6 linked regions of the Macaca fascicularis genome follow. The protein of the gene in region 3 interacts with the protein of the main gene of each other region in a biochemical or structural test. Links are inferred from orthologs where the notes say so. Each region holds a gene or a part of one and is shown on either strand. Other genes may lie near its edges. The genes, in order: LNPK, DRD4, KLHL12, FBXL17, PDCD6 and SEC31A.

What was found.
Region 1: the proteins of KLHL12 (region 3) and LNPK form a complex in vitro, tested with the Homo sapiens proteins (2 studies listed by BioGRID, with this or other methods). The link is inferred for Macaca fascicularis from reciprocal best matches to the Homo sapiens genes KLHL12 and LNPK.
Region 2: of the proteins of KLHL12 (region 3) and DRD4, one has a biochemical effect on the other in vitro, tested with the Homo sapiens proteins (2 studies listed by BioGRID, with this or other methods). The link is inferred for Macaca fascicularis from reciprocal best matches to the Homo sapiens genes KLHL12 and DRD4.
Region 4: the proteins of KLHL12 (region 3) and FBXL17 form a complex in vitro, tested with the Homo sapiens proteins (3 studies listed by BioGRID, with this or other methods). The link is inferred for Macaca fascicularis from reciprocal best matches to the Homo sapiens genes KLHL12 and FBXL17.
Region 5: the proteins of KLHL12 (region 3) and PDCD6 form a complex in vitro, tested with the Homo sapiens proteins (2 studies listed by BioGRID). The link is inferred for Macaca fascicularis from reciprocal best matches to the Homo sapiens genes KLHL12 and PDCD6.
Region 6: of the proteins of KLHL12 (region 3) and SEC31A, one has a biochemical effect on the other in vitro, tested with the Homo sapiens proteins (3 studies listed by BioGRID, with this or other methods). The link is inferred for Macaca fascicularis from reciprocal best matches to the Homo sapiens genes KLHL12 and SEC31A.

The regions. Positions count from the first base shown.
Region 1 is NC_088386.1:71,543,903-71,547,402, forward strand, and holds part of LNPK (endoplasmic reticulum junction formation protein lunapark), read right to left. Parts: intron 1,271-3,500; coding exon 1,229-1,270; intron 471-1,228; coding exon 283-470; intron 1-282. UniProt on the Homo sapiens protein: Endoplasmic reticulum (ER)-shaping membrane protein that plays a role in determining ER morphology. Involved in the stabilization of nascent three-way ER tubular junctions within the ER network.
Region 2 is NC_088388.1:539,075-543,036, reverse strand, and holds the start of DRD4 (D(4) dopamine receptor), read right to left. Parts: upstream 2,801-3,962; 5' UTR 2,737-2,800; coding exon 2,464-2,736; intron 240-2,463; coding exon 127-239; intron 19-126; coding exon 1-18. UniProt on the Homo sapiens protein: Dopamine receptor responsible for neuronal signaling in the mesolimbic system of the brain, an area of the brain that regulates emotion and complex behavior.
Region 3 is NC_088375.1:60,647,369-60,650,868, reverse strand, and holds part of KLHL12 (kelch-like protein 12), read left to right. Parts: intron 1-1,819; coding exon 1,820-1,926; intron 1,927-3,148; coding exon 3,149-3,344; intron 3,345-3,500. UniProt on the Homo sapiens protein: Substrate-specific adapter of a BCR (BTB-CUL3-RBX1) E3 ubiquitin ligase complex that acts as a negative regulator of Wnt signaling pathway and ER-Golgi transport.
Region 4 is NC_088380.1:114,361,844-114,365,343, reverse strand, and holds part of FBXL17 (F-box/LRR-repeat protein 17), read left to right. Parts: intron 1-2,215; coding exon 2,216-2,358; intron 2,359-3,500. UniProt on the Homo sapiens protein: Substrate-recognition component of the SCF(FBXL17) E3 ubiquitin ligase complex, a key component of a quality control pathway required to ensure functional dimerization of BTB domain-containing proteins (dimerization quality control, DQC).
Region 5 is NC_088380.1:589,667-593,831, reverse strand, and holds the start of PDCD6 (programmed cell death protein 6), read right to left. Parts: upstream 2,801-4,165; 5' UTR 2,726-2,800; coding exon 2,625-2,725; intron 1,693-2,624; coding exon 1,631-1,692; intron 1-1,630. UniProt on the Homo sapiens protein: Calcium sensor that plays a key role in processes such as endoplasmic reticulum (ER)-Golgi vesicular transport, endosomal biogenesis or membrane repair.
Region 6 is NC_088379.1:50,950,805-50,955,065, reverse strand, and holds the start of SEC31A (protein transport protein Sec31A), read right to left. Parts: upstream 2,801-4,261; 5' UTR 2,368-2,800; intron 1-2,367. UniProt on the Homo sapiens protein: Component of the coat protein complex II (COPII) which promotes the formation of transport vesicles from the endoplasmic reticulum (ER).

The sequences.
Region 1 (3,500 bases), on a different chromosome or scaffold from region 3:
AGGGGAGCATGGTCATCTACTAGAAAATCATAAAACATTGCCATATAGAGCAATTATTACTCATATTACTAGGTAATACTCCTCAGGTATATTGGATTACAAATGAAGGTTTAAAACAATTGTTCTACTATTTTTAAAAAATCTTTTCAAATTGTGAAAGAAATTCAAACTCAATCAGATATTACCATTTAATAATAAAGAGACTGAATATATATACTAGATATACATTAAGACTCTCTAGTCAGAAAAGGAAAAGATCAACAAAAAGAATAATTTACTTACATCAATGGAAAAGCAAAAAATGGGAGTGTCATGGCAAGTCTTGCTGTAAATTCATCAGGAAGATACCACAAATATACAATTAAGCATGTAAACAGATAGAGAACTGAGGAATACAGAATTAATCTTCCAACCCATAATTTTTGTAATCTCTGATTTTTTTCCCTAAATTCTTCCAATGCTTGAATTTCCTGTTAAGAGAAAATTATTCCGTTAGTAAATTTCAAACTTCATAAAGAAATTAAAATGTTAAAAAATGTTAACAGGAAAGATATTTAAGAAAAAACTCTTATTTAAAGTTCAATAAAGCATAATACCCTAACCGTTTAAAACAGAACATAATATGTAAAAGAAAACTAAAACTGAGGTTAAAAATTTATAATGCTTATTCTAACAAAGCAATTTTACAATGCAAAATTAAGTACTATTTTTAAACTATCAAATTGGCAAAGATTCAGGGAATGAAATTGGTATCAGCAATAATATTTGTTGAGTCAAATAAGTAATAATTCCTCCTATAAAAGGCATTTTAAAAATCTGGCAATAAGAAAAAGAATTAATAAAAATTAAAACCGTAACCCATCTATTTATCACTCTCCATATTCCCAGAAAATCATTTTTTATACTATATAAAAAGCTGTGAAAATTTTGTAGACTGATAAAAACTATTATACAGTATCTCATCTATTTTGTCCTACCTGTAACATTTATTTACACCACACTATAGATCTAATTTCATTCTAACTGGCTCTATTACTTGAAACAGACTTCTTAAGTCACTGATAGACTTTAGATTTTTTTGAGGTCACATAACATTAAAGTTCTCAGACTCACTCTATATCATTTCTCAATTCCCATACCAGATTTGGTCTTCAAAATAATATATACTACAATAATATTTATTTAATACCTAAAATGAATTAAAATACCTTACAGCCAAAGAACATACCTTATCTATACTTTCTAGAACTTCTACAGTTGAAGGTTTTGTCTGTTACAGAAACAGAAACAAGAGACAGCATTAAAACGTATCACAAACTTTTATGTTTTGATATAATCATTAAAGAACATTTATTTCAAAATTGAATTTTCTCAAATGTTATCAGGCAAATATGTATTCTTGTTTATAACTAAGATTTACTTAAATAAAAATTATAATTGCAAACAGAACTACGTAAGAGTAAAGAAATAAGCATTTCCCTACTTAACTTTTTTTAATCCTAGAAAGACTTTGAATTCTGATGGCTCAATTTTTACCATTCTTAACCTCAATAAAACACACTGTTATAGAAAGAAACAAATTTTGGCCAGGTACGGTGGCTCGCGCCTGCACTTTGGGAGGCCAAGGTGAGCGGATCACTTAGGGTCAGGAGTTTGAGACCAACCTGGTCAACATGGTGAAACACCATCTCTACTAAAAATCCAAAAATTAGCTGGGCGTGGTGGCATGCGCTTGTAATCCCAGCTACTCAGGAGGCTCAGGCACGAGATTTGCTTGAACCCGGGAGCCAGACATTGCAGTGAGCTGAGATCGCACCACTGCACTCTAGCCTGGGTGACAGAGAAAGACTGCATCTCAAAAAAATTTTTTAATTAAATTAAAAAATTAAAATACTGCACATTTTCCTCCAAAAAAATTTCTTAGGAATGATTACTCAAAAGAATTAACACATTAAAAAAATTTACAGACTAAAAATAGTCTGATTGGCTATTGCTAAAAGTTCACTTAAGACTCTGGAGGTCAAAATCAACAGGTTATCTTCATTCTAAATTCCTAAAGTACTTTTTGAAGATCAGATTTTAAAAGGACATCTAAGAATACTTCATTATAGCAAAGCTTGTTTGCCAAAGGTATTTTTTATACATCTAGAATAAAAATCAGCCAAAATCACTCATAAAACACTTGAAAAAATATTTACCAATTACATACTCAACAATCCAAGAGGGTAATGAATATCAGGTCATTGTAGTTCCCATAAGAGTTGTTAACATTAGAGTTAACCATATGAAATTGACATTTTGCTAAGCCCAAGCAGTTGAATACTGGCAATTTCATATGGTTCAACCTAATATGAAAGACAAAGCAAGAAGAGATAAATTTGATCCTTGGGCAGATTATTAAAAGGTCATAACAGGGTCAATATAATGCTGATCCAAAACAAGGCTGTTCCAGCAACAGCCCAAAACCTAAGTTATGTACCAAGTATAGTTAGACTCTATTATTATGGTAGTAAGGAGAAAAAAACAATAAGTAGTTTATCCTAGACTACCTTATCTCCTCTTACATTTGAAAAAAGCATTTATATAATTTTTTTTTCTTTTATTTGAGACAGAGTCTAGCTCTGTCGCCCAGGCTGGAGTGCAGTGGCAAAATCTCGGCTCACTGCAACCTTCATCTTCTGGGTTCAAGCGATCCTGCCTCAGCCTCCCGAGTAGCTGGGATTACAGGCGCCCACGACCACGCCCAGCTAATTTCTGTATTTTTAGTAGAGACGGGGTTATATAATTTATACAATTCATATTTTCGAGCTGTAACTTTGAGATACTTCCTCTAAAAGCTTATCCAATAAAATCAAACTGAATTTCTAATTTTGTTTAACCTATAAATTCTAAAAGCACATGCAGTGTGACTTTAGTCAATATTTATGATAAGCTTCAAGTAAAAAGATACAGTGTGTAAGAAACAAATATTGTATAGAATACTTTCTTTCTTTTTTTTGAGACAGAGTCTTGCTCTGTCACCCAGGCTGCAGTGCAGTGGCACGATCTCGATTCACTGCAACCTCTGCCTCCTGGGTTCATTCTCCTGCCTCAGCCTCCCGAGTAGCTAAGATTATAGGTTCACACCACTACGCTGAGCTAATTTTTGCATTTTTAGTGGAGACAGGGTTTCACCATGTTGGCCAGGCTGGTCTCAAACTCCTGAACTCATGATCTGCCCACCTCGGCCTCCCAAAGTGTTGGGATTACAGGCGTGAGCCACCGCACCCGGCCTAGAGTACTTATTTTCAACTACCTTTCAAATAAGCTTGAAATTTAGGAAGTATAAGAAAACAAGATAGCCATTTGCACACAAATACAGAAATACAGAAATAAAAATAATTCATACATCCAAATGAAATAATTCTGTTACACAGAGGCATTGGACACCTACAGAACAAGTGGAAGTATCAAAATAAAAAATAGAAAAGTAATTCAAAAGAGAAGAAAAAAGTTAAGGA
Region 2 (3,962 bases), on a different chromosome or scaffold from region 3:
ACGGCCACGGCCACGAACCTGCGGGGAGCGCCGAGGGTGCGCGGGACAGCGCGGAGGCCGCGGTGAGGGCGGCGGCGGCGGGAGGGGCGCGAGGGCGCGGGGGCGCGGGCGGGGAGGGCGGCGCACCTGTCCACGCTGATGGCGCACAGGTTGAAGATAGAGGCGGTGCACAGCATGACGTCCATGGCCATGAGGGCGTCGCACAGGCGGGGGCTCAGCAGCCACGCGCCACCCTGGACCTGCGCGGCGACACCACAGGCCCTGAGGTTTCCCAGCCACCGCGGGCCCTTGTGACCCCCTCTCTTATGGGTAGTTCCAGGGCTGAATATGGAGGAGGGGGCCCGCTGTGAACCAGAGGCCAGAGGAGCAGGCAGAGAAACAACCCCTCTGCACTCAGGTCTCCCTTTGTTTTCAGTTAGGGTCTCGCTCTGTCACCCAGGCTGGAGTGCGGTGGCTCCATCATGGCTCACCGTAGCCTGGAACTCCTGGGCTCAAGCGATCCTCCCACCTCAGTCTCCAGAGTAGCTGGGACTACAGCCGCGCGCCACCACCCCCCAACTGATTTATTTATTTTTTATTTTTGTTTTTCTTTTTGTTTGTTTTTTTGAGACGGAGTTGCACTCTTGTTGCCCAGGCTGGAGTGCAGTGATGCGATCTCAGCTCACTGCAACCTCCGCCTCCCGGGTTTAAGCGATACTCCTGCCTCAGTTCCCCCGAATAGCTGGGACAGCAGCCGCATGCCACCATCCCAGGCTGATATTTTCATTTTTTTTTTTTTTTTTTTCTGAGAGGGAGTCTCGCTCAGTGGCGCAGGCTGGAGTGCCCTGGGACGATCTCGGCTCACTGCAAGCTCCGCCTCCTGGGTTCCCGCCATTCTCCTGCCTCAGCCTCCCAAGTAGCTGGGACTACAGGCGCCCGCCGCCACACCCGGCTAATTTTTTGCATTTTTAGTAGAGACGGGGTTTCGCTGTGTCAACCAGGATGGTCTCGATCTCCTGACCTCGTGGTCCGCCCTCCTCGGCCTCCCAAAGTGCTGGGATTACAGGCGTGAGCCACCGCGCCCGGCCGATATTTTAATTTTTTGTAGAGACCCGGCCCGGTATGTTTCCCAGGCTGGTCTCAAACTCCTGGGTTCAAGCGATCCTCCTGCCTTGGCCTCCCAAAGTTCTGGGATTACAGGTGTGAGCCACCACTCCTGACCTTGGTCTCCCTTTTGTTACAAACATGAGAACGGGCCTGGGGAATTCCCTGGGGGCGGGGCCTGATGTCATCGGGCTCAAGGAGAGCCCCTCCCCAGCCTGGGGTAGGCAGGGTCCCCGCTGGGCCTAGACATGAAGCTGGCTGCTCTGTCCTTCAGGGCATGAGCCAGCCTGTCTGGTGAAGCTCTCTGTGGGAGACTCGGGCGCATTAATTCATTTGTTTCCTCATCTGTAAGACGAGGATGATGATAGTATCCACATAATTGTCTTGAAGATAAATTATAATTAAAAATATGAAGACCTGCCCAGTGCCCAGCGTAGGAGTCCACGTGGAGTGACTCTCTTCAAGGGCAAAGGAGCAGGCAGCCCCCTTAATCCCTTCCCGCCGATTTGGGAAGATTAGGAGCTTAAACGTCGTCACTGTGACGTCTGCGGCTCGAAAGGAGCACAGGTCATGCGTGTCCCGTGCTGCTGGTCTCTGCCCCAGCCGCCAGGACTCACCGTGTCTACCAAGGGGAAACCCCGAGTCCCCCCTCCTCCACAGTCCGGGACACCGCGTCCCCAGCTCAGCCTTAAGCTGCTTTTCTCTGGCTGCAGAGGGGCTGGCACCAAGTCCAACCCATCCGAGGGCCAGATCTGGTGTGGAGTGTGGGATCCATCCCCCAATTCCCCCTCGGGCTTCTCCCCAGGGTTCTCAGCAGGGGCCTGGCCCCCACACACCCTCCCCTGGGTTCTGTCCAGCCCAGGTCTCCCCTGTGAGCTGTGAGCCTCCTGGGGGTGAGCCAGCATCCGCACTGGGTGTGCGTGGTGGTCTGTGGCTGTGGCCATGTGCAGTGCGTGTGTGCAGTGCGTGTGTGTGTGTCCCAGGGCAGCCAGGGGGCCGAGCCCGCATCTGCCTGCCTGTCCAGCTGGTTGCCCTGGGGGTGAAATCCAGCTGCCGGGCGGCGGGAGGGGGCTGGCTTGACAAAGTCGCCTATTTCTGGGGTCCCTAGATCGAAGGACGGGCATCTCCTGGATAGCAGACGCCAAGACAGAAGGGGAAGGGAGGAGAGGAACGGGGGTCGGGGGACAGCGCAGCGGGGGGAAGGACGCGAGGTGGCGGCGGTGGGTGTAGCGCGGAGGGACCAGGCCCAGCGCCCCTGCCGCCGCCCCAGCTGGAGGCTCCGGAGCAGAAAGGGGCCGGGTCGCGCCGGGTCCTCCGCAGGGACAGGGACGGAGAACCGAGGAGCAGATGAAGATGCTCGTGCGGCCAGACGGGGCTCACCTCGGAGTAGACGAAGAGCGGCAGCACCAGGAGAGCGAGGAGGAGGTCGGCGGCCGCCAGGCTCACGATGAAGGAGTTGGTGGGCGTCTGCAGGGCGCGCTCGGTGGCCACGCTCACGCACACGAGCGAGTTCCCCGCGAGCACCGCGCCGATGAGCAGCACGCCTCCAACCAGCGCCGCCGCGCCCGGCCCTGCCAGCCCCGCAGCCGCCCCCGCGCCCGGCCCGCGTCCGGCCAGCAGCCCGTCCGGGTCCGCGGTGCTGCGGTTCCCCATGGCGCGCCGGCCCCAGGCGCCCGGGCGGGCGCTGAGCACCGCGGACAGCGCCGGGCCGCAAACCGGGGAGTCCCTCCCCTTGGGCACGCCCCGGCCAGACTCTGGTCCCGCCCCCGCCCCGCCCCGGCTCAGGGGGGCCCCCGCGGCGCTCCACCGTGCGCCCAGTATTTGCTCATCTTGGAATTTTGCGCAGGGAGAGACGGGCAGGCGGACGAATGCGGCGGCCCAAAGAGACGGGAATGCAGCGAGGTGGTGGCCATGGGCAGGCCCAGCATCGCCTGGTGCGGCGCGGGGTCCGCACCCCGAGAAACCAACAAGGATGGAGGGGCAGCCAGACCAAGCCCTGAAGCGCGCGGGCATCGACGCCAGAGCCATCCTGCCCGGCCCCTGCGTGCGTCCCGGCCCTCGGGCCGTCCACCTAGTCCACCTGGTGTCTGGGAAAACGTCCCTCCCAGGCCCGTTCCGCCAGTCGCGGGAAGACCGGAGCTTAGGCTCTGCCCGCCTCCCGGGGGACTCGCCTCGACCTCGCGCGCACCCTCCTGCCCGCGACTCCGCGCCCGACCCAACCGCCGACGCCTGGCTCGTACCCCCGCTCCCCAGCAGCCTCTGGTCCTCAGCCCCCGCGACCACCACAGTCAGCCGCGGCCCCACCCATTGCACAGTTGGTCCTCCCGTGGCCGCCTCCGATAGTGGGCCGGCACCTCCCCCCGACCCTCCACCCCCGGGCGGACAGCTGAGCGGTCGACCCTGCTCCCTCCTCCAGTCCCTCCGGCCCAAGACCCTGAGCTAGGTAGGCGTCCCTCTGACCCTGGGCAGGGGGTCCGGGGACCGGACAGTAGGTTCAGCCCGCGAGGAGGCAACGAGAAAGACAAGACAGGCCCTGGGAGGTTCCAAACGTGCAGAAGAGAAAGTGCTTGCAAAGTGCAGCAGAGACAGTTCTATGGACTCTTCATCAAATCGGGGTGACCCATGACCTGAGGGGTATTTTCTGTAGTCCTGTCACTAAAGGGGCCTAGAAGGCACTAAAAGGAGGCACCACTCTGTGGGACCCTGGGCGATGCACATCTTGCTCTTGTCTTTGTTTCTGGGAGGACTGGAGTGGAGGGGCCGTGCCAGGAATTGAGGCCCCTGACCTCAAACGTATGGAGGACACGGGCTGGACGAGGTGCTGATGGGGTGTGCATTAAAGGGAGAAACGAGGGCTCTGAGAAGGAGCAGGCACCGTG
Region 3 (3,500 bases):
AATACAAAGTGTTTCCATCCTGTTTTGGTTTTTACTAATCAATTTATTTCTTGAAGAAAACAAGCTATTCGACCTGTAGAATTTCCCACATTCTGGACTCTGCTGTTGGCATCTTTATAGTGTCATTTAACATGTTCTTCTCCTATGTATTGCCTGTAAACTAGTGGTTGGACTAGAGGGTTGTTAAGAGTCAGCCTCAATTTTTTAGAAAAAAGACTCATTAGATGGTAGTGTGGTCCTTCCTATTCATCACCATTAGGAAGCACACAATGTCTCATAGTAATATGTTAGCTTTTGAAATAATGATTCTAGCCCAGCAATTGATGATAATTGTCAAATCCATTACTTCATTAGGGGTTTATCTGTGTTTCCTGTCAGCTTCAAGGTACTACATTTGCTCTTTCAAGTCCAGGTTACTTGTAAGATCACTTTGGTCTCCTAGATGCTTCCTAGTGATTGAATTTTCCAAAGCTCCAGCTAACTGTTCTCTCCATGAGTTCTAATTGAGTTCTAATGGAGCACATGCACAGGGGATTTTCTCAAAGAGACTTTGCTCTTTGAAAAAAGCCAAGCCAGGTGCTGTGGCTCATACCTGTAACCCCAGCTACTTGGTAGGCCAAGGCAGAAATATCGCTTGAGGCCAGGAGTTTGAGACCAGCCTGGGCAATATAGCAAGACCCTGTCTCCAAGAGCCAGGGTAGGAAGTATTTTATCAGAGTAAGGCCTTAGGGGAAGGGGAAGATATAAAGGCTGTCAGAATAGCTTCTTTGGGAAAATAGAGAAAAAGACTTTTCCTTTAAAACTCTAGTCTTTTGTTGCCTTGTGGTTTTGATGAATTGGCAGGGAATATGATCATATAGTTGACTACATTGGAGAAGGAAATGTTCATGAAAAAGAGATTTTAGGCCAGGCACAGTGGCTCATTCCTGTAATCCCAGCACTTTGGGAGGCTGAGGCAGGAGAATCACTTTAGGCTAGGAGTTTGAGATCAGCCTGGGCAATATAGCGAGACCCTTTCTCAATTCAGAAAAAGAGACTTTAAATCCATCACTTGGATCCTAAGTTTCAACATGCAGCTTTTTTTTGTGACAAGGTTAGGAGAGTTCTTTCCCTATTACAACAAAAAAACCCTCCCAATTTGGGTTTTTTCAGGCTGAGAAGTGCAGAGAGTGCCTTTAGCCTCTCACCTGCACTTAAGACCTCAAGTATTATGTCAGCCAGTCATCTCAATAGGTTGAAATGGTGCAGTGTTGCCGGGCACGGTGGCTCACGCCTGTAATCCCAGCACTTTGGGAGGTTGAGGCTGGCAGATCACCTGAGGTCGGGAGTTCAGGACCAGCCTGACCAACGTGGAGAAACCCCATCTCTGCTAAAAATACAAAATTAGCCAGGCATGGTGGCATATGCCTGTAATCCCAGCTACTTGGGAGGCTGAGGCAGGAGAATCACTTGAGCCCAGGAGGTGGAGGTTGTGGTGAGCCGAGATTGTGCCATTGCACTCCAGCTTGGGCAACAAGAGTGAAACTCTGTCTCCAAAAAAAAAAAAAAAAAAAAGAAATGGTGCAGTGTCATGTTGAAGTTTGCTTTCTAGAGTTTTAATGTTGTCCAGAAATTTAAGTTTCAGAGACTTGAGAGCTACAGCCTCAAGGAGAAATAACTCCCCATTCGACAGCCTTATGATTATCTCCCATTTCAGATTGCATCCCTCAGTCACATAAAACAAGACATCCTAGAACTGTTTCTGTTGACACTTCCCTGTGACTAGTTACCCATCCAGGGATGCTGAACTAACCCATCTTTTTTCTGCCTTTGTCTTCAGGAGCCAATGAAGTGCTTTTGGTGGTTGGGGGCTTCGGAAGCCAGCAGTCTCCCATCGACGTGGTAGAGAAATACGACCCCAAGACTCAGGAGTGGAGCTTTTTGCCAGTAAATAATGGTGAAACCATTCGTTGGGAGGGAGCTTAAATGTCCTCAGTCTCTGGGTCCAGATCATAGCTAATCCAGCCTTAGGAGTAGAAAAGCTATTCGTTGGGAGGGAGCTTAAATGTCCTTAGTCTCTGGCTCCAGATCGTAGCTAATCCAGCCTTAAGAGTAGAAAAGCCTAATAACAGGATCATGTTTCTTACAGCAGTCTTGTGCACATAGTAGGTACTCACTAAACAGTTTTTGACTGTTTAGATTAGAAGATTATGCCTTAGTAATGTCAGTGGCCCTGTGTCAAGGTAAACTCAGATGGCCACCACTAGTTAGGTGCCTTGCCAAGCTGTCTGTATAATTCCCAGCACATTTCATTGGTCATGCTGTGTTAAACTGAACTGAATGTTAAATTGTGTGTAATTGAACCTAGTGTTCAGTTGAGCTAAGTTTGGGCTGGGCATGGTAGCTCACACCTGTAATCCCAGCCCTTTGGGAAGCTGAGATGGGAGGATCCCTTGAGGCCAGGAGTTCAAGACCAGCCTGGGCAATATGGTGAGACTCTGTCTCTACAAAAAAGTAAACAAAAAAATTAGCCAGGCATGGTGGTGCATGCCTGTAGTCCTTAGCTACTTGGGAGGCTGTGGCAGAGGATTGCTTGAGCCCAGGAGTTCGAGGTTGCAGTGAGCTGTGATTGTGCCACTGCAGTCCAGCCTTGGTGACAGTGAGATCCCAACTCAGGAAAAAAAAAAAAAAAGTTTGTATCTGTCTTCCTCAGCATGTCTCTTTCAGTGCTGAATGAACAATAGTACTTTCTAAGAAAACATGGAAATCCAACCCTTCTACCTTTTAAGGTTCTTGTAATAAATCCTGGCCCTTTGATTAGCAGTGTGGGAATACTTTTCCACTTTATGGAAGGATATCAGTCTCTTAGCCCAGTGCCTTATGGAAAAGAAAGGAGTCAGATACTAGATAACAGAAGACTGTTAAATCTTTTGGAAGCCTTGGAAAGAGGCAGATGTGCAGAAAGCTTGTATCTTTAAGAGCACCACAAGCATTTCGTTCAGTAGATAGCTATTTGGGAGCCACTTGAGGATGAACCACTCAGGGAGGGTTCATGATAACAGGTGAAGAAGCATAGAGGTGTGCAGATGCAACAGGGAAGATGGCAAAAGGTAAGGCCTAAAACTTGCCTAACTGAAATGCTCTGTACCTCTTCTCTCCAAATCCATAGAGCATCACTCGTAAGAGACGTTATGTGGCCTCAGTGTCCCTACATGACCGGATCTACGTCATTGGTGGCTATGATGGCCGTTCCCGCCTTAGTTCAGTGGAATGTCTAGACTACACAGCAGATGAGGATGGGGTCTGGTATTCTGTGGCCCCTATGAATGTCCGACGAGGTCTTGCTGGAGCCACCACCCTGGGAGGTAGGCTGGATGTGCAGGGCAATTATTTCCATCTTACTGTGGCTGGACCAGGGTTTTTAACCTCTCCTGTTGTCTGGCAGGAGCATGAAATATGGAGAAAAAATTAAGGTCAAATGTTACTATTATTTGAGATAGGGTCTCTCTTTGTTGCCCAGG
Region 4 (3,500 bases), on a different chromosome or scaffold from region 3:
AAGGGCCTGGCACATGGAGTGTAGTCAATAAATGTTGGCAAAAATGCTCTAGAGCTCATGAAGTGGTTATTAAATAATTGAATGAGTTAAGAAATAATAAAGTTTCTCATCCTGGCTAACACAGTGAAACCCCGTCTCTACTAAAAAATACAAAAAACTAGCCGGGCGCGGTGGCGGGCGCCTGTAGTACCAGCTACTCGCGAGGCTGAGGCAGGAGAATGGCGTGAACCTGGGAGGCGGAGCTTGCAGTGAGCCGAGATCCAGCCACTGCACTCCAGCCTGGGCAACAGAGCGAGACTCCCTCTCAAAAAAAAAAAAAAAAAAAGAAATAATAAAGTTTCATTCTAACTTCAGTAAATAGTGCTAAGTCAGAAGAAAAGCCTCCAAACATCAGTAATTTTACCACCCAGAATCAATAGCTATTGACGCTTTATCTGCTTATAAAGCAGGCTGTAACAGTCAGGGCTTTTCTGGATAGTACAGGGCTTTCGTGTTCTAGCCTCAGACCTCAATGAAACAACTTCACAAAATCTACCAACCCCAGGCCATCCTGCAAGTGGTGCTTTGTCATCTTTGGAAATTATAGTTTGAGCACTTTGTATTAAAAGGGATTTATTTTATGTATCCCCTACTTCATTTTTCTTAGCAGATCTTCAGGATATCATAAGCAATGAAAGTTATGATGGTACCAGAGAGAACAATTTTCTTAGGTCAGAGACACCAAAATTAACCTGGGATGTTGCTCCTTCTACACAAAGATAGTATTCAGACCATTTCTGCAAACTTTTAGTAGTTGGCAAATCCCCAAATCCCTTGGAAAACTTTAAATATCAAAACAGCATGCACAAAGATGAAAACATTAACAAACTGGTACATAAAGAACTTTAAAAAAAAATTCTCTCTATTGTATTTTCACTGGAAAATACTGGGGTCATGATTGCTGTTTGTATAAACATTAAATATCTGGCTCCTTTGAGTGCTTTCCTACTGGAATGTACAGACATGAGTTTTCTAGTAAAAAAAAAAAAAAAAAAAAAAAAAAAAAAAAAAACTGAGGTAATTAGCAAAGAAAGACTTTTCCAAATATTCTCTTCTGTGAGCTGTAGGAGTAAACATTTGTTAACATGAGTACTTAACTCTATCCATCTAGTCAACACATTTTGGGAACTATCATTCACCTTTATTGTCACAGAAATCAACTTATGCTATCTTAGAAGGAGGAAATTATCAGAAAACCATTTCTCTTTTCTTTTTGATATTTGTGGCACTGTTTTCAGGGTTTTCATTCACAAACCAATGCACCATAAACTGGTGCTGGAGTATTGAAATTTGTTTTTCTGCTCCATAAATATAGAGGTGGGCACATCTATCAAAGTCGGTAGAAAAGAGCCACATTCACCAACTGGTCACTCTGATGGGGTAATGGGCTGTGGGGCTTTGCAGTGACTAGTAGTGCACGTCATAGATTGTGGGATAAGAGTCTGCACTTTAGTGGTGGTACAATGCTAAACAGCTAAGAAGACTACAGATACTCTCATGGTTTACAGATGACAGGCTTCATTTTATATGTTAATAGAAGGAAGACTTCTGATAGGATGAGGAAATTCACCATAACAAATGCATTCCCTTTACTGAACTCTAGCATGGCACCAGTTAAAATCAGCTGTATGTATGATGTACTCTTAATTCCTAACAGTCCCAAGAAGTACTAATGTGAAAAATATTTTATACTTTTACATTTTATAGGTCATGAGCAGATGGAAAAAATTATGCCAATTGGTAAAGACATTCACATGCAGTATAACACTCCTCAAAACGGTGTTTACATGGGTTTTTCTTGAAAAAAAAAATTAAAGTTATCTTGGGTAAAATTATTACTTGGGTTTTCTTAAACGTTGTATCTGTAATTCATTTTATTGTATTCCTTCTGCAGAGCTGCATGTTTGAAAGCACAGGTAACCTTGTAATGAATAAAACTGATAAAAGGTTGTGTCCAATGAAAGGGAAATTATGGAATGATTATTCACTTTGCAAAAGGATTTGTCATAGGGAAGCTTTCGTAAAGCATTTCAAATTTAATTTAGTTTATAAAACATTCATTTACACACAAAATTTCAGGAACAAATTTAGTGAGGAAATGAGATGAATAGTCATAGTAAGATAGAGCTCCCTTACACTGCTAACGTTAATGCTTTCTCTCTGTCCCTTCTTGCAGCACTGATAGCCATTGGGCGGTACAGCATGACAATAGAGACTGTGGATGTTGGATGGTGTAAGGAAATTACAGACCAAGGAGCCACCCTGATTGCACAGAGCAGCAAGTCTCTGAGATATTTGGGGCTGATGAGATGTGATAAAGTAAGAGTTGACTATCAAGTTGTTTGCTTTCTACATATCAGTATAGTTAATAGCTTGATGTCGTATCCTCTCCTTCTCTATCCCCACCCCCATATATTCTATATTATATATACATTATATATATATACACAATTATAGCTATGCATTGTTCGCCTGCTTTTGTAAACTAATCTGGGATTATCTTTGCATTTCCCCACTTAATAATTCTGTGCTTAAGCAGAAAGAAAAAGTAATCATATATATAGAGTCAACTTAGAGTTTGGCATCCTATTTATAAGTCCATGGACCAAAATTTAAAAGGTTACATGACAAACTGCAATTTTCAGGGTCTAACCGTAAAATTATATTCTGTGTTTCAAGTTTCCAGCAACAGTAAAGGTGGAAAGAACAGTGCCAAATTGGTTTTTCACAAGTGTGTAATTTTGCTACTGAACATCTATGTATTCTGGCCACTCGGGAACAAGAAAGGGCCAGTGAGGGGGTATGTGGGAATTTGCATCTCCCCATACATCAGATGCCACTCCTAGCACGTGATAAGAAGTGATTCCAGAGGTCCTGGTGGAAGGCCTGTGGAGCTGACCAGCGATGTGAGCATGAGTTTAGGAAATGGTGCAGCATTTAATGTGGGACCCTTTGAAGACTGAGAAAACAGATAATAAAAATCTATACTGACACCTGTAATCCCAGCATATTGGGAAGCCAAGGCAGAAGGATCACTTGAGCCCAGGAGTTTGAGACCAGCCTGGGCAACAAGGCAAAACACTCTGTCTCTACCAAAAAAAAAAAAAAAAAAAAAAAAAAAAATTAGCCAGGCATCATGCCACACACCTGTAGTCCCAGCTACTAGGGAAGCTAAGGTGGGAGGATCCCTGAGCTCAAGAGGCCGAGGTTGCAGTGAGCCGTGATTGCGCCACACCACCCCAGCCTGGGTGACAGAGCAAGACCGAGTCCCAAACGAACAAACAAAAAACCAAAAAAAAAAAAAAAAACCTATGCTAGACACCAGGCACTCCACAGATGTTTTCTTCTTTATTTATTCCATGTTTTTCCTATAACAAGTCTAAGAAATAGTTATTTGCATTGTGAAGTGGAGAAAATGGAGGCTCAGAAAGACCAGTCAGTGGCCCAGGGATACTCTGGCA
Region 5 (4,165 bases), on a different chromosome or scaffold from region 3:
GGTGAGCAAGTTTAACAGAAAACCTAAAACGAAACCTAAAATCTAAAAACCTGAGCAAACGCATAAAAAGCAGGCTGTTAAAATGGATCATAAATCTTGCATCACTCACTGGAAAACCACTCAAAATAAATGTCTCCGCGACATGGCCTCTGGGGAGGGCACTCTGTGTGGCTCGTACCACCCTGGTGACAAACCACTTGAACCTGGGTGGTCATCTGATGACATTTCACAGATGATGCACAGAGCCATCTGCACCCACTGTGGTTAACATTGAGGACGTTTTAAGCTAAGATTTGCCAAATTGTAGCCTACTGGATTCCAGGTTCTCTTGACATCTTTTTCCAGTAGCCATGTCTTGCACTTCCCAAGTATAAAAGAACCGAGATGCAAATTTAAAAAAGGAGGATTTAAGAATAATGAAAAGAGAAAAATCAAGAAAGCACAATCACTAGTGCCGATAATAGAATTTCTGAATTCCCTGAAAACAATCTATATAAATGCATGTGAAATAATACACCAGCATCTGTGGCCCACACGTCACATATCAGGAACTGATGTCAGAATATAAGGTAAACATGTTACTCTGAAAACACAAATCCTCACAAATCATTAGGCAGTAAGGCTGAATGAAGCATCCCCCCAGGCACAGCGCAGTGAGGCAGTGTCCAGCAGCCGTAGTGCTCCCTGTGTCCCAGTCCAGTCTCTGGCAACATCAGGTACTTCCCACTAATAACGAGGAGCCTTTCAACATTTTCACAACATCTCAAAACCGACCCCTTTTCTAGCTTAAATGGCACGGATCTGGAAAGGGAAACTATACACAGAATCGGAAAAGATGACTGCCCCAAAGGGATTACAGAAAAAGCCGCAGTCAGGTGTTCAATGAAGTAAAACGTGATCTTCCCAGGGGAGGGGGGATCAATTGAGCTGAAACTGGCAAGAACTAACTGCAGTGAGCTCACAACACCCAAGGACCCGGATTTCCCGCCGCCTGAACGTCCAGTATTCGCACACTGATAAGAACACCTCCCCATAATTCCCCTGCCAGCGCCTCCAACACCCCCAATCCTTTCCCCAGGAATGCAGTCCCCGTGTTTGCGGCTCCTGTAACAGCCACGTCCCCACACAAGTGCTGCCTGAGCTCCCCAAGCCCTCCAACCACCACCCCCCAATGCCCTCGAAGGTCTATTCAGAGAAGTCACCAAGATGCAGTTACCGAGGAAATTCAAGGACCTCCAACTTACCAAAAGGCTTCCGGCTGTACAGAGCTAAGCTTCCTATTCCCCTCCTAAACCTACAACCTAGTTTTCATTTCTCAAGAAGCCTTTTCTTGTGCTTATGCACGCAGTTGTTAGCCGGCTTGGTGAGGCACTCCAAATAACAGCGGCAGCCACAACAGAAACCAGAAGCATCTCCACCATGAAGCAGTAATAATAGTTTGTCCTAATGATCCCTTTGTCCTTGGAAAATGAACTTCAGAAAGAAAGTTATCCACTGCGAGCAGAGCAGGCTTCTGGGTCCGGACCCAGGTCCCACGGGCCCACTCAGCGGCTTCTGGGTCCGGACCCAGGTCCCACGGGCCCACTCAGCGGCTTCTGGGTCCCGACCCAGGTCCCACGGGCCCACTCACCGTTGGAGAGAGCTTGCTGAAGCTCGGTGTCCGATATCACTCCACTCCTGTCTTTATCAACCCTACAACATCAAGAAGACCAAATAAGCTGGCGATCCAAAGTTCAGGAAAAGCAAAACAAACGTCTCCTGTCAACCCTGCACTGACTCTGGAAGGCTCGGAGCCTCCTGGAACCTCCGCCTCTCCCATCCCGCTGAGGAGGACACGGGAATCAAGGAAGTGCCGCAGGAGCCCACGTCCAAGCGGGGTCTTCCCCTAAGAGGCCAATCATCTTTCTCTCTCAATCCTTCCCTTCCTTCCTCTCCTGGCCTGTCTGAATTCACATTTGCACCAGTTTCCCTTTTTCACAAACAAGATTCCCTCAGATAACTAAGGCATTCCCTGGCCATGAGTCACTACAGTTTCGGTCATTCATTCCGTGGAAAAGCGACCCGGGACAGAAGGCGCCGCCGGAAAGGTCACCTGCCCCGAGCAGACGCCAGGTCGCTGCTGCTTCCTCGGCTGCTGACACTTAACAGCGCCCAGGCAGTCTGTCTCTGCTTTCCCCGAACAAGCACCCCTGGAGACCCTCCGCCCGGCGGCTCCTGAGGCGAGAAAAAGGGCCTAGCCCGGGAGCCGGTGGCCGCGACCTCGGGTCTGCAGCGGCTACTCTGCACCTCTGGAAGGGCCCAACGCACAGGGCAGGGACCGGGCAGGAGGCGGGGGCGGCCGCGGGAGACCCACAGGGGACGGGGGCGGCCGCAAGGGACCCACAGGGGACCGGGGAGACCGCAGGGGACCCGGCAGGGGACGGGCGCGGCCGCAGGGGTCGGGGCAGGGGACGGGGGAGGCCGCGGCGGTCGGGGCAGGGGACCGGGGAGGCCGCGGGGGACCCGACAGGGGACAGAGGAGGCCGCGGGGGAACCGGCAGTGAACCGGGTCCGCGGCGGTGGGGGCAGGAGTCGGGGGCGGCCGCAGCGGAGGCGGGAGGTGCTGGGGCGGTGCCAGGCCGCACCTCTGGAAGACGTTCCACAGAAAGCTCTGGTCCGGCAGCGCCGCGCCCGCAGCAGGCCCTGGGCCGGCCCCGGGGCCGGGGCGGTAGGAGTAGGCGGCCATGGGCCAAGGCGCGCGGCTGGGCTGAGGCGTCTACTGAGACGTGAGACCTCTCAGGGCGACTCCGCTTCCGGCTCTGCCGGGGGCAGGGCCTGGCGTTACCTCCACTTCCGGGGGCGCAGGAAATGCGTAGTCTCCGGGATGGTCACGGGGTCCCGCGCGGCCAATCCCCTCGCAGCTCAGTTACCAAGCAACGCCCTGGCGCCTGCGGGGCCTGTGCGGTCCGGGGCGTCTGGAAAAAGCCAGAGCTCTGGAGCAGGCAGCCGGCTACCGGTGCTGGGAAGGCGCTTGGAGAAAATGTCCGGCTCTGCGACCCGGGACGGGAAGTGATGGAGTAGAGAGTTAGTTAGCCTTTCAGTTCATGTATAAAAAGAAGTTTTGACGTGAATGTGATTCAGGCTAACAGTCGGAAACTCTGGGCGGGGCGCGGTAGCTCACGCCTGTGATCCCTGCGCTTTGGGAGGCGGAGGCGGGCGGAGCTCCTGAGCCCACCAGTTCGGACCAGCCTGGGCAGCGTGGCCAGACTCCATCCCTACAAAAATTGCAGAAAATAGTCGGGCGTGGTGGCGGGCCCCTGTGGTCCCATCTACTCCATGGGCAGAGGCGGGAGGATCGCCTGAGCCCGGGAAGTCGAGGCCGCAGGGAGCCGAGATCACTGCACTCCAGCCCGGTGGACAGCCAGACTCTGCCGAAAAAAAAAAAAAGCAGGCCGTGCGCAGTGTCTGACGCCTGTAATCCCAGGACTTTGGGAGGTCGAGGCCGGTGGATCACCTGAAGTCGGGAGTTCGAGACCAGCCTGACCAATATGGAGAAACCCCGTATCTACTAAATATACAAAATTAGCCGGGGGTGGTGGCGCACGCCTATTCCCAGCTACTCGGGAGGCTGAGGCAGGAGAACTGCTTGAAGCCGGGAGGCGGAGGTTGCAGTGAGCGGAGATCAGGCCGTTGCACTCCAGGCCTGGGCAACAAGAGCGAAACTCCGTCTCAAAAAAAAAAAGGGAAAACGCATTTCGGGTGGGAAGGACAGTGTGCAGCGTTCTCGGTTGTCTGTTCCGCCCGTAAAAGCTTCCCTCCTTTAGGTTTAACCTGCGCCCCCGCGCTCTGCCTCAGCGCCGCCCCCGACGCCGTGCAGCTGGCAACACTGGGCGCCTCCCTGCCGGGTCCCTTCCCGCCCCTTGGTGGTGGTGCAGCCCTGTCTCCCCCGAGACAGCACTGCCTCCATGCTGGACACGGTTCTGCGGTGGAACCTGGAGTGCCTGTAGCACCAATCCCCGGAATTGGGAAGTGCCCAGCTTTGGGCCACTATGATCCCTGGGTCTTTGCCGCCTTCCACCCCAGTCCTGTGTCCTGTGTCCTGTGTCCTGTGCCCTGGTTCAGGATACTACAATTATTCTCATTATTTCGTGGGGTTTTTCCAGCTTTTCAGGTTCTTCAGTGCCTC
Region 6 (4,261 bases), on a different chromosome or scaffold from region 3:
GAATCGCTTGAACCCAGGAGGCGGAGTTTACAGTGAGCCGAGATCATGCCATTGCACTACAGCCTGGGAGACAGAGCAAGACTCTGTCTCAGAAAAAAAAAAAAGATTTATTGAGGAATATTTATATTCCAGACTAGAACTCTTATTTTTCATGCAACTTTCTCTCGATAATTGCATTCGATTAGGTGGAAACTTTTTTCTTTCTGCTCATTTTCAAAATGTAAATTTTCTGAAGCAATACTAAAACCCAACAGCACTTGGGTTTTAGTATTGCTAAATACTAAAAGTATTTAGCAATACTAAAATTGTTGAAAAGTAAGTAACTTTTCAAAAAAAAAAAGTAACTAAAATTGTTGCTAAGTATTTAGCAATACTAAAATTGTTGAAAATGTTGAAAAGTACCAACCTTACAATGCTATATAGAGCTGACCCATACCTCAGAAAGCAAATAAAAAGTTAAAGAGGTAATAGAATTGGAACTTTGATTCCCAAACCAGGTATACAATCCCTAGTTGGCATTGCTTTTAGTAAAAATCCATTTTCTGTGGGCAAAATATCTCAATATGGATAGAAACAATTGTTCAGAGGATTGATTATTTTCAATGTCCTAGGTTCATTTCACTCAACCCAAACCAAGTCAAAGGAGAAAGTAACTGTGCACTGGTTACTGAACTAATTGGTGTCATATTAATCTTAGGTATAATAAAACTTTTTGAGCTGAAATTAACCTAATGACATTTCTAAAAACAATGTAATCAATGTAAATCAATCTAGTAATATCCCTTTACAGGAGTTTTTAACTTGTAAACTTCATAATATTATGTACACAGAAAATCCTACACGTCACTTGAGAGCAGGAGCTTGAGTCCAGCCTGGGGAACGTAGTGAGACCCCCATCCCTATAAAAAATAAGAGATTAACTGGGCGTGCGCCACGTGCATATTCCTAGCTACTTCTGAGGCTGAGGAGGGAGGATCTCTTGAGTCCAAGAGTTCAAGGTTATAGTGAGCTATGACTGCACCACTGCACTCCAATCTGGGCAACAAAGAGTGACTCTGTCTCAAAAAAAAAAAGTAAAATAAAAAAAAAGAAAATCCTACGTGTGTATATGTGCATTCTTCCAATGCTTTCATTAGATTCCCATAAGACAGTGAAATCCCCCCAAAATTGTGAATCATTGCTCTTCACAGTTTACAAATTTATTTCTATTCCCACGTTATTAGTTTCAATAAATAATTTGCCTATATAAAATTAAGCAATATTATTCTAAATCTACCTTAAATTTCAAGTTTCACAAATAACCGTGGACGTATGTAAGATAAAATCACTACAAAACTACAGAAACACCACGAGTTATCCAAAAGTTCTTGGAGTCTACAAACCTCTCCCTGAGCTGTAATTAAGGAATACTGAGAAACAAGAAGCACAGAAGAACCACTAAAGGAGAGTAGGCTGGGCGTGGTGGCTCATGCCTGTAATCCCAGCACTTTGGGAGGCCAATGCGGGCGGATCACTTGAGGTCAGGAGTGCGAGATCAGCCTGACCAACATGGTGAAACCCAGTCTCTACTAAAAACACAAAAACTGGACGGGCGTGGTGGCGGGCGCCTGTAATACCAGCTAGCTACTCAGGAGGCTGAGGCAGGAGAATCACTTGAACCCGGGAGACGGAGGTTGCAGTGAGCTGAGATCGCGCCACAGCACTCCAGCCTGGGTGACAGAGCGAGACTCCGTCTCAAAAAACAAAAAAAACAAAAACAAACAAACAAAAAAACAAAACAAAAACAAAAAAGGAGAGTAAGCTTTTGCCAACCCTTGAATAATCGGAGGTACAGAAAACGCTAGACGCTATAACAAGAACACAGCTTTACTGATTAAATACAGTTATAACTGCCCACAAAGACAACCAAATTTCAGTTTTCTATAGTTAGAAAAAAATAGGAGAAAGGATTTGTCACAGACTATCAGATCATTGCAACTTCAAAAGGCCCTACGTAAAATTAGTTCCTTAAGCGCAAGGAAAATTTTATAATGCCCACAAGTCCAGGCAATATTTTGGTTTATTTTACAACAGCCCCGTAATTTAACAACTTATTAGCAAAAACATGTAACACTTAATGAGACTGCCCTCAAAGTACAGGCTGCTCCTGGCTACCACTGTCCTTAAAATAATCCAATCCTAGTTAAATGACAGTAGACGTCAGTTCAAACCTATGAACCTTTAACTATAAATCTGGCAACAGTTCAAGTACAAACAAACAAATCCTAACCAAACTAAAGTCAACCAAAGTAATCCTTAGATTTTTTTCCTTTCCTCACCCTCGGGGACCGCACCTCTTTGTGCACAAGGGTCTGAAAGTCTCCTAACCTCAAACTCCAGTTACCAGCCCGGCTACGACTCCCCGGCAAGACACCGTCGCCAGCCTCGGGTGGCTTTTGCTCAGCAGTGGAGACGTCGGCGGATGCGGACGGGCGCGATCACTGAAGGAGTCCAGACGCCAGGCGTTGTTCCGCCGGGCCCGAAACCAAGACTGGGGGCGCGCCGTCACCAGAGACCGGGCCTCAGGCTGGCGCGGGGCAGCGGAGACCCAGGCTGCGGTCCCAGTTTTGGCCTGGGCTTTACCTCAAGGCTTAAGGACCGGCGAAGAGGACAAAAAGCAACGGGTGGACACACCTGGCAAGGACCTTGAGCAGCCGGATCCTGCGTTAGTGCAGCGCCCGTCGGAGTCTCCCAGCATTCGCCGCCGCCCCTCCTCCCGGGCCAGGGCCACCTCCACGTTCCGTTCCAACGTGGCAGCCGCAGCCGCAGCCACGCCCTGCCGCCCAACACTTCCGGGAGCGACATTTCTCCCCGCCCACCCCGACGCACGGCCCGCCACGGCACTTCCGGGACCGGCGGTAGGCTGGGGTGCAGGGTATGGCTCTGCGGGTTGGGCGCGCTCTGCGGTCATCGCGCCCGCGCGAATGTAGAAACCCTTTTCTGAGGGGCGGCGCGCAGAATATGGATGCGGCAGCCAGGACTAGCAGGTAAAGGAGTAGTGCAGAGGGTGTCTCCGTCCGGCCGAATAACCGCTGTGGTCCGCAGGAACGCCACGTAGCACTAGTCCTGTGAGGTGTCTGCAGCCCCTGGCGACACTGCCCAAGCCAAACCACGTGGAAAATTGGGCTGCAAGAGCTTTATTGTAATTTGTGACTGAGTTCTTAAAATTACCCACTTGATTACACATTCTGGCATTTTGAGAACTTACACAAAGCGAAACTATCTGGGCATACCCAAAGGCTATTGTGGACAGAGAGGCATAGATGGGGTGTTACGGTGTTATCAATTAGTACCCTTTCATACTTGTTACTATCCCATGGTATTGAGACCCCGTAGCACTCGCCTTCCGCTGTTACTAGTTTCCCCAGAGCTTCAAATCTAATTAGATGCGTTGCCTGGGTGTACTTTTAGTTTAGGGAGGAATTATTTTACAGCGAGGTAAAGCCAAAGGAAAATCACTTGCTAAACTACCAGAAACTGGATTCAACCCAGGTCTCCTAACTTCTAGACAAGTTCTTTTCTCATTACACCTAGCATTCAAAGCCAACTCTTGCACTTTGGGTGGCTAAAGCAAGATCCTGCCTCTTGAACAGCAGCAGTGTCAACATTCCCAGTCAGCTACATCTTCTGTAACATTCCATCTGAAGCTTGCAGCTTCCTAAGATAGCTTAACATTATCACGCCAACTTCTGAAATAATGAACCCAGCTTTTACTGGTAGTAATATATTTTCTTTCAACGCAGTAACTAAGGTTATCACTTTGGCCTGAATGCTAGTCAAACTGATTGGGATTTGTTTTTGATTAGTCTTCAAACAAGTAAATGCTCCATTTCAACCGCAAGCAGCTTTCTGTTCCTAGTGCAATTAAAACTGAAAGACGTTGAAGCAAGTTTACCTTTTTACATTTATCATACTTTTTCAATAGGCCTGTATTACAGCTTCATGCAGGTCTGGGTCTCAACCTATCTTTGCTTTGCTGTCACCACTTTCAAATCTTCTAATCACATCCAATTTCACTTCCAGCGTTATCACTTTTCTTTGCTGCCCTGTCCTTTGTTGACCAATTACCTATTTTGATTATCCATTTCTGTAAATGGTCACAAGTTTTAATCTCTGGGGCCACGGAGGCAACACTACTATGCACTTTGTGCTTTGCTATCTGTGCATGAACTGATGGATCAGTAACAAATCACCAACAAACTTTGAAAGAACGTAACTGGCC